Styela clava: one gene and its partner. The protein of the gene in region 1 interacts with the protein of each later gene in a pairwise test. Links are inferred from orthologs where the notes say so. Each region holds a gene or a part of one and is shown on either strand. Other genes may lie near its edges.

The links.
Region 2: the proteins of serine/threonine-protein kinase 4-like (region 1) and small ribosomal subunit protein uS10-like interact in a two-hybrid assay, tested with the Drosophila melanogaster proteins (2 studies listed by BioGRID). The link is inferred for Styela clava from reciprocal best matches to the Drosophila melanogaster genes hpo and RpS20.

The regions. Positions count from the first base shown.
Region 1 is NC_135254.1:9,064,754-9,072,415, forward strand, and holds the start of serine/threonine-protein kinase 4-like, read left to right. Parts: upstream 1-4,632; 5' UTR 4,633-4,664; coding exon 4,665-4,805; intron 4,806-5,247; coding exon 5,248-5,408; intron 5,409-5,822; coding exon 5,823-5,942; intron 5,943-6,709; coding exon 6,710-6,865; intron 6,866-7,572; coding exon 7,573-7,662. UniProt on the Drosophila melanogaster protein: Plays a key role in the Hippo/SWH (Sav/Wts/Hpo) signaling pathway, a signaling pathway that plays a pivotal role in organ size control and tumor suppression by restricting proliferation and promoting apoptosis.
Region 2 is NC_135257.1:17,376,152-17,382,304, forward strand, and holds small ribosomal subunit protein uS10-like, read left to right. Parts: upstream 1-4,084; 5' UTR 4,085-4,209; coding exon 4,210-4,246; intron 4,247-5,277; coding exon 5,278-5,606; 3' UTR 5,607-5,651; downstream 5,652-6,153.

The DNA.
Region 1 (7,662 bases):
CGTTTTGCGGGCGGCTGAATTCGAGTGTGCTTGATTATCAATTACGGATTTACCTAATTTACAATTTTTCGACGTAATAGGAATGAATGCGTAAATAAAGAGCCTTGACAAGGAATTGCAGCAATGCCCACCACGAACCCTGCAAAGGTGTCGCAACAAAGATCTCCTTCGAAAAACATCGCTCACGGGGAAAATTGGCTGCTATTCGGAATTATTTTTAAATTAGCTGAAAAAGTATTCGAATACTTTGATATTGGAATATTCGATTTGTTATGGACAACCCTGTGCCGGTGTGATTAAGCTGTTTTGCTGGGCAGAAAATCCAAATATCTAGGCGGTTCATATGGTCTTCCTTACGTTCACTCACGTGAAGCGATCACCCGGCTAGTTATTCTCAAGCCATGAATGAACTGATAAATATCTTACTGGTAGACTCTCATAACTCTAGCTAGGTATAAATATCAATTTCTCTCGTATTTAAAACAAAGTTTTGCCTATACCTGTATTATCGAAAGTTAGGAAATATATATACACCAACTGACCTTTGCCATGCTACCCGACATGCAAAACGTTATCTGACCAAAACTACAAATATACAAGATTCTTTCTGGTAGCCACATTCTTTAGAGCCCAATGCTAAATTTGTATGTTTATTATCTGTGTAATGTGTTTAATTATGAGACATTCACTTTGCTGTGATCATTTGTGCGGCGTCACTATTGCTGTTTGAATGGAAATGCCATCTTTTCAGTTTGATGTAACGTGACGGATTTAAAACAATAAATCACTCAACGAGATTTCCTGTTCCTTCTTCCATTATTGAATCCGCGGCAATTTGGTATTAAATCCAATACTGAGAAAAATTATTAGTGAATAAGACTTCTGCCCAGCTGAAGGGCATCCCAATAACCAATTATAAAACCTTATTACATCTGAATACCACAAGCACAATTAAAAAATAAATACCGAGAAACATAGAGCATTAATAGTGACTGTCATTACAGTTACCAAGCAATCAATTAAGAAATTCAGGCAGCACACGGGCTGAAAAGCAAAGTGACGGCTTCACGAAAACAAGCGAGGAATGGGCTTGAGGAGACTGCTGTAAAAAAAAACTGGCTGGCAAATGTATGCCTGTAAACTGAGTGTATATAGCACAATCTAAGAATGAAAACTTACCAAGTGGAAATAATAAATTGTATGTTCGAAGCTCTAGTTTAGATCAGGGTTCATTCTTCTTTGAAATCTAATCGAACAAGGCAGATCCGCAATATGACTCTATGCAACTAGACGTGCAGTGCACCAGTACTCACTAATGGGTTCACTTTAGCTCGTTGTGACTATCAGTGGTTGTAGGCAAGTAGACAACCACTTTGAATCGCGTTCACAGTGAGACAAGATAGACTGAAAAGATACGGTGCGATGCGACAGTTAGGGTACCTCATTCAACTGATAGGCGTAATTGAATTTGAGCTAACGAAGGCGACCATAGGTAGGATAAGTAATGGTATCGGTACCGAAAGTGCTGGACGAGGGCAACCTGTCTGTACCGGTAAGCGATATTCCCATGGTTTCTTCTAATTTGAAATTATGAGCTGCCGTTAATTATGGTAAGGCTGGGAAAACTGATTAGACGCTTTTTTTTTATAAGTTTCCGTCAGGTTTTATTATAGTATTAAAGTATAAAGGTTTTTGATTTGCAATGCAAATAAAATCCTAGAATACTGTCGAAGATTTTTTTCAACTTTGACTGTGTGAAGCAAGAAAAAGAGAATAGGCCTACAGCAATTTTCATAATTTTACGAACATCAGCATTAAGCGTAGATTAATAAATCTGATAGAATCCACTGTACATACATTGAAAACTTCATATTAATTCTTTCTATTAAAATAGTAAATCTCCCGATCCTCGCCCGCTAACTGCCGACAATTTACCGCTCTTTGAAAACCGCTACATATATTTATATATAAATATATGCGCCGCGTCCAATGCCATCATTCCAAAGGCCAAAATTAAAATAGTAACTTGATTAAATTATAATTTTGTGTAAAAATTCAATCAATTTCCTCTAAAAATCTTATAAAATTTTCTTTCGAAATAAATATTCAAATTCCTGGCTTGACCATGCTGCTGTGCTCTGAAAATCATCAAAATGTAATAAACAAATCAACTAAACTATAAAATTTCGTTGAACTTGCCTTGCAAAGCTTATAGCGATATCTTTCATTTGAAACACATTTGAAGTCGTAGTGTTTATATCAAAATTTCACGGCACAATCACCTGCCGCTTACATGCGATAGCCTAATAGCTCATTTTAGCCTAGGCTATCGCATTCTTTGGAACTAATTCTTGATTACGGCAACTAAACTAATGCTCATCAGAACACATAACGACAACTAAAATACTTCATTCTCAACTAATTTTTGAAAACACAACTAACAACTGACAAATAACACGCAAAACCGCAGGGCAATGTGTACAACCATACTTGAATATGTGTATGAAAGAACAAAGTGTCTCAGGGATGCAATAATTACAATTGTTACGTCACCGTTGACATTTTGCTATATAGTCATTGTACGGAAATAAACAAGAAAATCGGTGCTCTTTGCAGCGTTGCCAACTTAGATTATTTCAAACTAGATTTAGATTATTTTCGTATAATCTAGATGTAATAAATGCCCAATTAGATGTTAGATTATTTTCTAGATTATTTTAGCATTCATTTAGATATATCTAGATTATTTCGACAAATGTAATTTTGCATTGTTCTCTCGTGGCAAAGAAGTGAAGTTCACCAGCACCAACAGTAACAACATTTGAAGAGATAGCAATGTCTATGGAGATAAGATAATTTACAGAATAGTTTTCCGATCGGGGTTAATAGTGCTCAAAACAACGAGGGAGGCTCGCCAAAATATTGTCGAATGTCCAGTATTGCCATACTCTGAAAGTAGCGTGAACTGAATGCTGAACCGAACGTCTATTCTGCGTCTTCGAGATTGTTGCTGGCATGAAATCCAATATTTAGGTTGAATCCAATTTTCTGGTTTACTCGTATCTTTTACGACATCTCGAGACCAGTTCTCTCTCCACCTATTCCTTTACTTACGCCATCTATCGAATGTGGATAGGTTGATGGAATTGACAATGAGTACCGGTACCGTTACCGGTACCATACCTTGTAAGTTATGTGGAAGGCCGACATTATTTGAATGGATTGGATTATACTGATGCTGAATTAATGGAATATACAATGACAGAATGATGATGGGAATTATATTGGATGGTGAAATTTAATGTAATGTGATGAATATTGTTTCCTTGTTTTAACACATAATAAAAAAAATTCGGAAATCTCAGAAAAGTTGCAGAAACTCCATCAGCGGTTTAAAACATGCCACCCAAATAACCAAAGACTGTTAGAGTTATGATTTTGTTTCACATCCGCTTCGCTGCACAAATAATACCGCCTTCCAGGTCGTCTGCATTTTGTTTGTCCGTTTTTTTTGTCTCGTTTTATACCAGAGCGACCAAAATAAAATTGCTGAATTGATTGAAAAAATATTCCTAAATGAATATATAGTCTAAATATTATAGTGTTTACAGATTATTATTTTTAAACAATCACCCAGGCGACTGAAAGTCATAACTTAAATTGTTACCGTCTGACCGTTATATGCCACCTACAGAACTACTGCCCTAGTAGGCTAATCAAAATTGTATGAGGACTGGAGGATGCCCGATAAAGCCCTTCAAAAATATGTCGCTTTTTCTGGCTGAAAATTTCATGATTTAAAATTAAACAACCAATTTTTTGTCTTTGTCTGCTTTCAGGCTGTTCGCTGTTCGTACATTCCATTTTAAAACAAGCTACTGAGGCCATTATTTCTGTATTTTGTAGCATTGCGAAAACCTAGTTATAAATGTGTTAAAAAATATTCCGCTTATTATTATAATGTTTAGATGGAACTAACAGATTAATATTGCAATACTTCATAATCCACTTGTATTCAATGACACAATTTGTATATGTATACTGGTACAGGTTGGGTATAGGTTGCTTTTGTGATAAATATGCCCATTATTTTATAAATCCTCAACTATTTGTATATTATTATTTTTAAACAACTCCTAGGGCACCTGGAAATCAAAGTTATAATTCAAACCTCCTTTTGCCATCTTGTTGTCTGTACTGTATCCATCATATATTGTTCAATTTTACTTTAAAAACTTGAAATTCGCCAAATTGGCAAGCCAGCACTGCGCAATAAACTATAAATAAGTGCAATCTAAAAACGCTACCATAGAATTTCTCGGTAGAAAATGGTCCGATTGACAGATGGAAAAAAATTTTACTGTGACGACTGACATTGTTCCAGACGCCCTCGTTTCAGTGACAAATAGAGTGATTGTTTCATATTATAACCAAACGTCAAGACATCTTGGAATCGGAGAACTGTGTTCTACTGATCAATCGTACTTCTGTATTCACCTTGTTGTAGCTTGATAGTAGAAACAACTTGTAAACAAAGCTATGTAAAGATGTGACTTTTATACAATTAACTGTAAAAAATGTAAATTCTGGAATTGGACCAGAGTTAATCAGAATTGTTTTTATTCAATTCAGTTTCGTGAAATTTTAATAAAAAAAATAAAAAAATGGATAATAAAAAACCACTGAAAAAATTGAGTGAAGAAAGCTTGACAAAACAACCAGATGAAGTATTTGATCTTCTTGAAAAGTTGGGAGAGGGATCGTATGGATGTGTTTTTAAAGCTATTTATAAAGAAGCTGGACAGGTAAGATGATTTGATTCCAAAACTCAATGTTTGATTCAATATTCAATCAAAATTAAAATATTTGTTAATAATCCATGTAATGGTTAGATCTTTAAAGATTGTCTTAAACTCAAGCTTCATTGATATATACATATATATTTGCACAATTTATAGTTCGGATGTCATATAATGTATTATCTGTATGTTGTTAACTTGTTATGCTGTTATACCTAGGGCAAGTTATTTTCATATTTTCTTCCTCTATCACAAGTTGTAAAAAAAATTCGATCTTTGATGCTATTTGTTCAAAATTTCGAATCAGGTCTCCAAGGTAGCAAATTGAGAAATATGATTTTTATTCTGTAGGACACAGAGTTTTAAATAAAACTCCCAACTTAAAAATGAAAACAGTCGTGAAACAGAATCTTTGTATATCTGACTCTTTCATCTATTATTTAATCAGGTTGTTGCAATCAAGCAAGTTCCTGTTGAATCAGATCTTCAAGAAATTATAAAAGAAATAGCAATAATGCAACAATGCGATTCTCCTTATGTTGTGAAATATTTTGGAAGTTATTTCAAGAATACAGATCTATGGATTGTCATGGAATATTGTGGTGCTGGGTATGTAATATGATTTTAAGTTATGCAAATATTTTATTTCAGTTTAATTTGTTGATTAATTATATTTTTGTATCAGCTCAGGCTTCAGTTACGTGGTATTCACTGTTTGATAGCTTATCATTGTATTGGCCTGATATAATTATTCAAGTACTCATAAGGTATTTACCACTATAGTTCTTTGTAGTCTCATCAGCTCTTGGCACTCCAGTGCTTGCCCGTAACTTTGCTCAGAACTCATTCTCCTCCTCATAATCTCTTGGTACCTCAGTGGTGGCCAGTAGCTTTACTCGGAGCTCAGTCTTCTTCTCAGCAGCCCTTTTGTACCTCTGTGGTTGCCTGTAGCCTTGCTCAGATCTCAGTTTTCTTTACTTACGAGTTCCGAGTGTGTGACTGTAGCATTCTTCCTTCCATTAGATCTGTATCGGACATCATCAGACTCCGACGCAAAACTTTGATTGAAGAACAAATAGGGACTATATTGCGAGATACTTTGAAAGGACTTGAATATTTGCACTTCATGAGAAAGATTCATAGGTAAGTTGAAAAAAATTTGCGTTATTTACTTGTTTGAAATCACAATGGCTTTGGCTCCAGCTTTTTCTTAGTTCGACTGCTCCTGGGTTACTGGTACTACAAAACCATAGCTTCAAACTTTTACAAATTGAAACTTTCAAATTAATAGACTCACTCCAACTTTAACTGCCAGTACTGGTTGATTTACTACTCAACAAGCTCGTTTGGTTTCGAAGCCATGAATGTACGTGATTTATTGATAATCTAATCTTCAAAATGAAAATAAAATTTGGAAAATTAGGATTTAGTTAGAATTTGTTCTTCAGATAAAATCTGTTAGTTCTACTATTAACAAATAATAGTGGAAAATTTTTTTGTTTCGTTACAATAGGACAAATTGTCATTCTCAAATTAGAAAGTCAGAAACTCAAGTATGCTATGTATTGAAATGCTGGGATATGGTACTAATACTAATAAGGACATTTTTAATGAGATAATATTTTTTCCATCTCAGATATAGACTATGTCCAGCATCAGATTAGGCTATTAGGCGAATGGCTCAATTCATGGATGTATTTTTGCACAAATATCAAATGTTGGGAATGTGACAGAATCTTGTTTTAATGATTCTTATAATTATATAACCTCTAAAACGTTGACGACCATGTTTTTTTCAGACCGTCCCATAGCAACTTTCCTATTCTTAATTCATAGTCTTCAAATGGAGATATTTTCGAACAGTTTCAAACCTCAAATTTTTTTTATTTTAAATATCACTATAATTTCAGAGATATCAAAGCAGGCAACATATTACTGAACACTGATGGAAACAGCAAACTCGCAGATTTTGGAGTTGCAGGTCAGTTGACTGATACCATGGCAAAACGTAACACAGTGATCGGAACACCATTCTGGATGGCACCAGAGGTTATTCAAGAAATAGGGTAAGTTGATAATAACGGATCATTTTGTTGAAATGGTGAATCATAGCTGTTCAATACTTGCATTGCTTTGTGATGCTATATATGGTTTATTTGCATTGCATGACATTATTGTCATTCCATTATAAATAAAAATAAATTAATTGTGAATATATTTGTGAACTTTTGTTGTATCGTAGTCTTATTTCTTCATACAAAACAAGATATAACTCAATCAAACACACTGAATACTATTTTGGGGAATTATATATTATTCTTAAGGCAGTTAATATCATTCATCATTTGGAAGCTATCTTGTTCAAGCATTCTTGTGGCAACCGCAACATACGGATATGAAGTAGGAAATAGACAGGAGAAAGGAATTGTAATTCAATACATAATATTACAATAGTACCCGCCTTATTAATTTGAGCTAAATATCTCGGCCCATCATGTATGAAACTAATACTAAATATGAATGCTTTAGTTGTGAGTATTCTTTATTGCACAGTCTTGTCATTCAACTAGATATTAACTTCTTGGTAGAAGCTGAACAGTAGATTATTGAATTAGTGTCTATTTTTCTTGTCCTAAATTCTGCTGCATTTTCTACAACACGGCTTTTGATTAATCAAAGAAATTTTAAATAATTGTTTCGGTATCTTATTGATCATTATTAAAATAAGTGAACAAATACTTTATATACTAAATGCTGTACATATTTTGTTTAGTTATGACTGCGTAGCAGATGTCTGGTCATTGGGAATCACAGCTATTGAAATTGCGGAAGGAAAACCACCGTATTCAGATATTCATCCCAT
Region 2 (6,153 bases), on another chromosome or scaffold:
AGATGGGAAGGCATAACGCGTCATTTACTAACCTATTATCAACTTATCTAGGATGGCCAATGTACATATTAACCGTAGATAAGGAATAGAATTAATTGTGTTGAGACCGATGGACGTCAACACACCTGGTTTCAACTTCTTCGGGTGAAATGACTAAAGAATGTAAGAGATCAACTTGTAAAACATGGTCTATTTGTGAATGCCGTGATAATTAATGTCGCGCTTATCAAACAGCAATATAAAGACGGAAGAGAAATTGCGTAATGAACCAACGCAACTTAGTCTTTTCGGCATCGGTAAAGCGATTGAGACGGCAGAGAAACAACAATACGACGGGATTTCCCGTGTTTATTCTCCGCGAGATCCATTTTCTATTACAAAATCTTGATGTTATGTTACCGATTTTATCGTTATATATCTGTCCGGACTTGGCATTGCTCAATATGTTTTTCATAATGTCTCGCAATATGTCGGCCAAATATGATTACCTGTCTTTACCAAATGCGGCAACTTATTTTGATTTATCGTCAACTCGAATACCACCGGCACTCGACCAAACTTGTGTCAATCTTGGCAAATAGGATTGTCGACTTGAGTTAGAAAAATAAATTAATATTTTCATGAGTGCAAAATAAATGTCACAAAATGCATTGTTTTGCGATATAATTTTGTATTTTCGGAGAAGGCATGTCATATAAGTACGTTATTTTAAATAATGCGCAAATAATTAGTATTTGATCTAAATTTATCGCAAATAATGTTATGGGCCGCGAAATGATTTAATGTAAAATGAAGCATGGAATTCGGAATATCGTCAATAAGTCGGCATCAATAATTATTATAAAATGCTAACTAAGTAGTAAAGTCGGATATTGTAAAAAACGGTGAAATAACAAGTCTTCGTCGCGAGGCAAGCTAAAGTATAATCAAACGAGAGAATACGCTTGTAGTTGATTTAATAAATTAGCAACCCGGAATTTTTATTTAATACGAAAGCCGTATTAATACGTTAATACGATTTTGAAAAAGTGAACTATCGGTTCTTAAATATATTACCAGAGTTGGTAATGATAAAATTGATCGCATAAAATTTGGTGATAGAGTGGATAACAGAATCAAAGCTAATACAAAAGATAAAAATCAGAATAAAATTGTTTTGAATTCACTCCTTGATATTTGTCTTTAACATCTGTCGCCGGCGTGTAGTACTGCCGGGAATATGAAAACCAAACTTCGATGTCCCATTCGGAATAGAAGTGGATTAAATTGGTTGTTAGGATAGGTTTAAATGTGTGAAAAAATATCGCAATTACGGGGTCATTACGTAATCGATTTGGCCGTAATTACGGAATTGATTTTTGTCAATTACGTGCAAGCCTACATAGTACCTTCTTGTTATTAACGATAAGGATTTCAGCAGTGATATTCTGCATATATTTCTCAAAGTACAAGGCAAAAACAAACAAATATACGGAAAAGTGGGCGAAAAAAGATTTAAGACGTTCTCATGCACTTGCCCACTTACCCCAAATAGCGAACAATACATTGAAGTAAATTTTAAAAAGACATGATAACTCCATATACAACGGACAAAATTCTTTCTAAACTGCATAGTAGATGTATGAGTAACTCCTTATTCAACGCCTTGTTTAAAGGGGTGTGTGAAGTACCCCATAATATAAGTGGGGATGCTATCACCAAATCTTTATCGAATGATCTTGGCAAAAAGAAAATCTTAAACTACAGTGGCACATCACCAGTCAGAGTCCCAGCAAATTTGTGTACCAGGTGAAGTCAAATCACACTGCTTCCATTTACAAGACGAGTCCCAGTCATTATAGATGGGCGCGTTTTTACGGCGGGAAAATGGTTCATTCTGACAAAGGAATGAATCTTTATATAGGCTAGGATTTACATATTATCTCGGGGAATAGGAAAGCCGATGAGACGACTTAACCATATGGCGAACCACGACCTCTCGTCCGGTTACCATTCCATGTCGGGTATGACTAGGGTTACCATATTTTTGTGACTTTACATTTTCCGATTTTACTACATAGGCCTCCATTCAAAGACATCCCGTCTGTCTTCATTGACATATTGCTATCGAGAGTTCATGCGCATATTCTCTGTCCAAATATCGGGTTCAGTTCGAAAAATAGAAAGGAATTGACGTTTACTAATACAAATAATTCGAATTTAGATTCTTTATGTACAGCAAAAGGAAGAAAGATAGCCTGCCGTTTTCAAGCATTGAGAATTTACTTATTCGCCTAAGCATGCTTTTCTGTAGATAACGCCTTCGTCAAAAAGACGTTGTTCAATGTTACATTCACGTGAACGTCAGAACAGGACCAATTACTATTGATTTAACATGTTATACGTTACGGAAACAACGAAACAAACAAAATAACGGATTTACCTCCAGCAAATGGGCTAGCGCTGGGCTGCACAGCAACAACAGTAACGAAAACATGTTATTTTGTATAGTGTTCGTGTATTATAATAGATGGTGGAACGCCAACGCGGGACTTTTGGCTGACTTGTCAGGACGGCGGGACAACACGCGATAAAGCGGGACTGTCCCACCCAGTATGTTCCCCAGCTTTTCTCTTTAGGGGGGGGGGGGGGGGGGTCCAAAATTTAGGGGGTGGTAAATAATTTGCTATTAGAGATAAAACTAGGCTATGGTATGTATTTAAGAAACGATGTACATGGGGGCCCCCAAGTTGATTGACGGCGAGCCAAAATCCAGAGCAGAATGAAATTGTAGGGCCAGAAAAGGGGAGCGAGGAAAAGTGCGGGACGACACGGCTGGGGTTCAGGGCGTGCTTAAGCGCCCTGAGAAAATTTTGAGAAATAGGCACCAAAATAGGCTCTAAGCTTGATTTTAGATACACCTAGCATCGCAGTTTGTTATGTAATAAAATCAACAATTATAATATTTAGCTGATAGAATTCTCGGGGAATAGATAACAAGCACGGCTTTCAACCGCAAATATATACTACTACGTTTCAACAAGTAATTTGCAACTGATAGTGACTAATGAAGTTACTTGCTCATCTGACATTGTATGAATGGCTACTTATGGCTTGTTTTGTTACACATTTCTAATTTTTTTGAACATGTTTGTTTGACTTTTGTATGAATTAAATTTTGAAATACGCTCGTCAACTGATCATAATGTTGTATTCCTTCAGAACTGAAATATTTTGTAAGGAGACAAATCGCTGAAGTTTGATTCTTTTCAATAAAGAAATAAAAACGCTGTCATTCATCTAAAAAACGTCTGTTTTCAGTTCCTAGTTTTCGTTTTGTGACATCTTTAAGCCTTCTTAATATATGGCTGATATCTAAAATACTGCAGTGTGTAATCATAATACCCATACCTATACATAAGATACCGGAATAATTCAATTGTTACGAAATAAACGTGCTTAAACTGTGATAATGATGTAACAATAGACGGTATCTAAAACTCAAAAGGTACCACATGAAGGGTTAAACTATTTCACTCAAGTTCGGCGGGCCATTTCAAATCGTCACGCGGGCCGTAATTGGCCCGCAGACTGCGGTTTAGAACCCTTCAGTGTGGAATCGCACCCCAAAATTAGGGGGGTGTTCACCCCCTATAGGGGGGGGGGGGGGTGTAGGGAAATCACTGGTTCCACCTAAAGCGGGACGTATGGTAAGCCTAGGTATGGCATTAGTTAGTTATTTGTTGTTCGGAAGCATAGACTTAGTGGCAGAGGAGGCCGTAACCGACCAGCGGTCACGTGGACCACCCTACGGCGGCGAGTAGTCCAGCAATCCTCACGCACATAACCATCCCCGCATGGGATTCGATCCTGCGAACCCACGCAGAGTAATCAGATGTGCGGTGGCAAGCGTTTTTCTAAACTTAAAGCACAATGAGTCCATGATAGTAATACCGCCGCGTATTTGTTTTAAAAGGGTAGATCCACGCTGGGCACATTGTAAAAATGCGATTAACCAGCAAACTGTGGAGACTTTGCACAACATTTAAAGTGACGTCACTGTGATAACTCACCCATGACAAAATGTGAAATCACACGCACGTTGGCGTTCTCGCGTCTCTTTCTGTTCATCAGTCCTACAGTGTGGATCTGATTATTTCTGGCTCACCGCTGTTCTCGTATTTTATCGTATTTCGAGATTACGTCGGCCGGTAGACACTAAAAAACATCATGAGTGCGTACAAGGAGACTGGCAAAGCACCCCCAGGTTTGTGAATTCAACTAGCTTATGTTTTATGTTACTGCGTTTCGGCCGTTGCGTACGGTGCTCGTTAATGCATCCTGCTGTACCGGTACTGGTGAAACTCATTGGCACAGTACGGTACCGGTATGCTGGTAGCTTAATTCAGTATAGAGTTGGTATATGCATACCGGTAGTCTATCAGAGAATTCAATTCAATAAGTGACTTGAACATTGAATAAATAGTGCATCAACCAGTAATAAAATTTATGCTTTGTGTATATATCTAAAAATAGTCAATACTCAAGCCTTGTACATACAGTAATCTGATAATCGTACATCCTATGCATATCCGTTAGCTGTCCATATAGTTGTATCATTACCTCAAGTCAATACCAAAATTATTGTTGTTCATTTTATCATTATATTTATTCTTTTGTTTACGATTGTGTTTGGTTGACGAATCAAAAAATCTGATTGCCTGACGTATCAAAAAATCTGTTTGCCTATGGAGAACTGCACTGAAAAATAGAGCTTGCAAAAAAGTCAAAATTGATTGCTTTGGATAGTTCGACATGAAGCCTCATTTTTCGAGTTTAATGTTCATAGAAACTTCAGATTTATAAAAAAGCTTCAACTGTCAGACTGTTGAATAAAATGTTTTTTTTCTTCACTTGATTAATCTGTTTCATTTTGACATCTGCATAATCTACTTTTTCCCCTAATTTCTTATTAACTGATCGTCTGCTTATTTTTGATACGCAATGTTGTAAATAGAATAGCTAACATAAAAGTTCAGTATTTCGGAATTCTATTTCTGATTTCACAGCCGAATATTCACAAACTACATTACACTAATATTTGTCATTAATCGGGATTTTGAAATTATACAAAAATAATTAATAATCTGTTTTCTTGTATATTTTTTATCAGCAATAATTTCAAACTCTGGAAGACCTAAATTGACAAATAAAATTTTATTGATCGAGAGGATTTTGATCAGTTGGGTACTTTTGGCATCATTCATTTGTTTAATATTTCATTCTTACACATTCTAGGGGAAGAACCTCCAATTCATAAGATTCGAATTACATTAACATCGAAGAATGTTCCCAGCCTGGAAAAGGTCTGTGCTGATCTGATCAAAGGTGCAAAAGAGAAGCAGCTTCGTGTAAAAGGACCTGTAAGAATGCCAACCAAGGTCCTTCGTATCACCTGTCGTAAAACACCTTGCGGAGAAGGTTCGAAGACATGGGATCATTACCAAATGAGAATCCACAAGAGGTTGATTGATCTTCACAGTCCATCTGAGATTGTAAAGCAAATCACCTCCATCAGCATTGAACCTGGTGTTGAAGTGGAAGTTACAATTGCTGACGGTGCCTAATTGTCTCCATTTCATGCGTTTGTTTGAATAAATGCATACACATAATTTTCTAACATTTGTAAGCTGGGCTGGTCAAGTAGGAGAGAAAGTGTGGGAGTTACTATGTAGTTTGCTAACCTTAAAATTGAAACTTGAAATCTTGTCCAATATTGGTGACAAATTACTTTTTGCATTCATGTGTGTAAATTTTGTAATGTCCTAACCCAGAGCTTCCCAAACTTTTGAGCTCGCGGCCCCTTTTGATATATTAAAATTTTTCGCAGCCTTTGTTCACGCTAATAATGCTAAACAGTTTAAAATATGCATTTTTGATATTTTATTGAAACAGCTAATTCTAAACTTTGAATAGGGCTACTCAATAACAAAAACATCGTTACTCAGATTATTCAATGTAATGGGTGCGAATGCTTCTTGCTACATAGCAAGTTCAGCCGTGGCGCAATGTTTGTTTATGCAGGCCTAATGATGAATTACGATGTCTGCCCACCGACGATCTGGTTCTAGTACGAAATTGTTCACTCTTATTGATCAAACTCAACATAAAGCA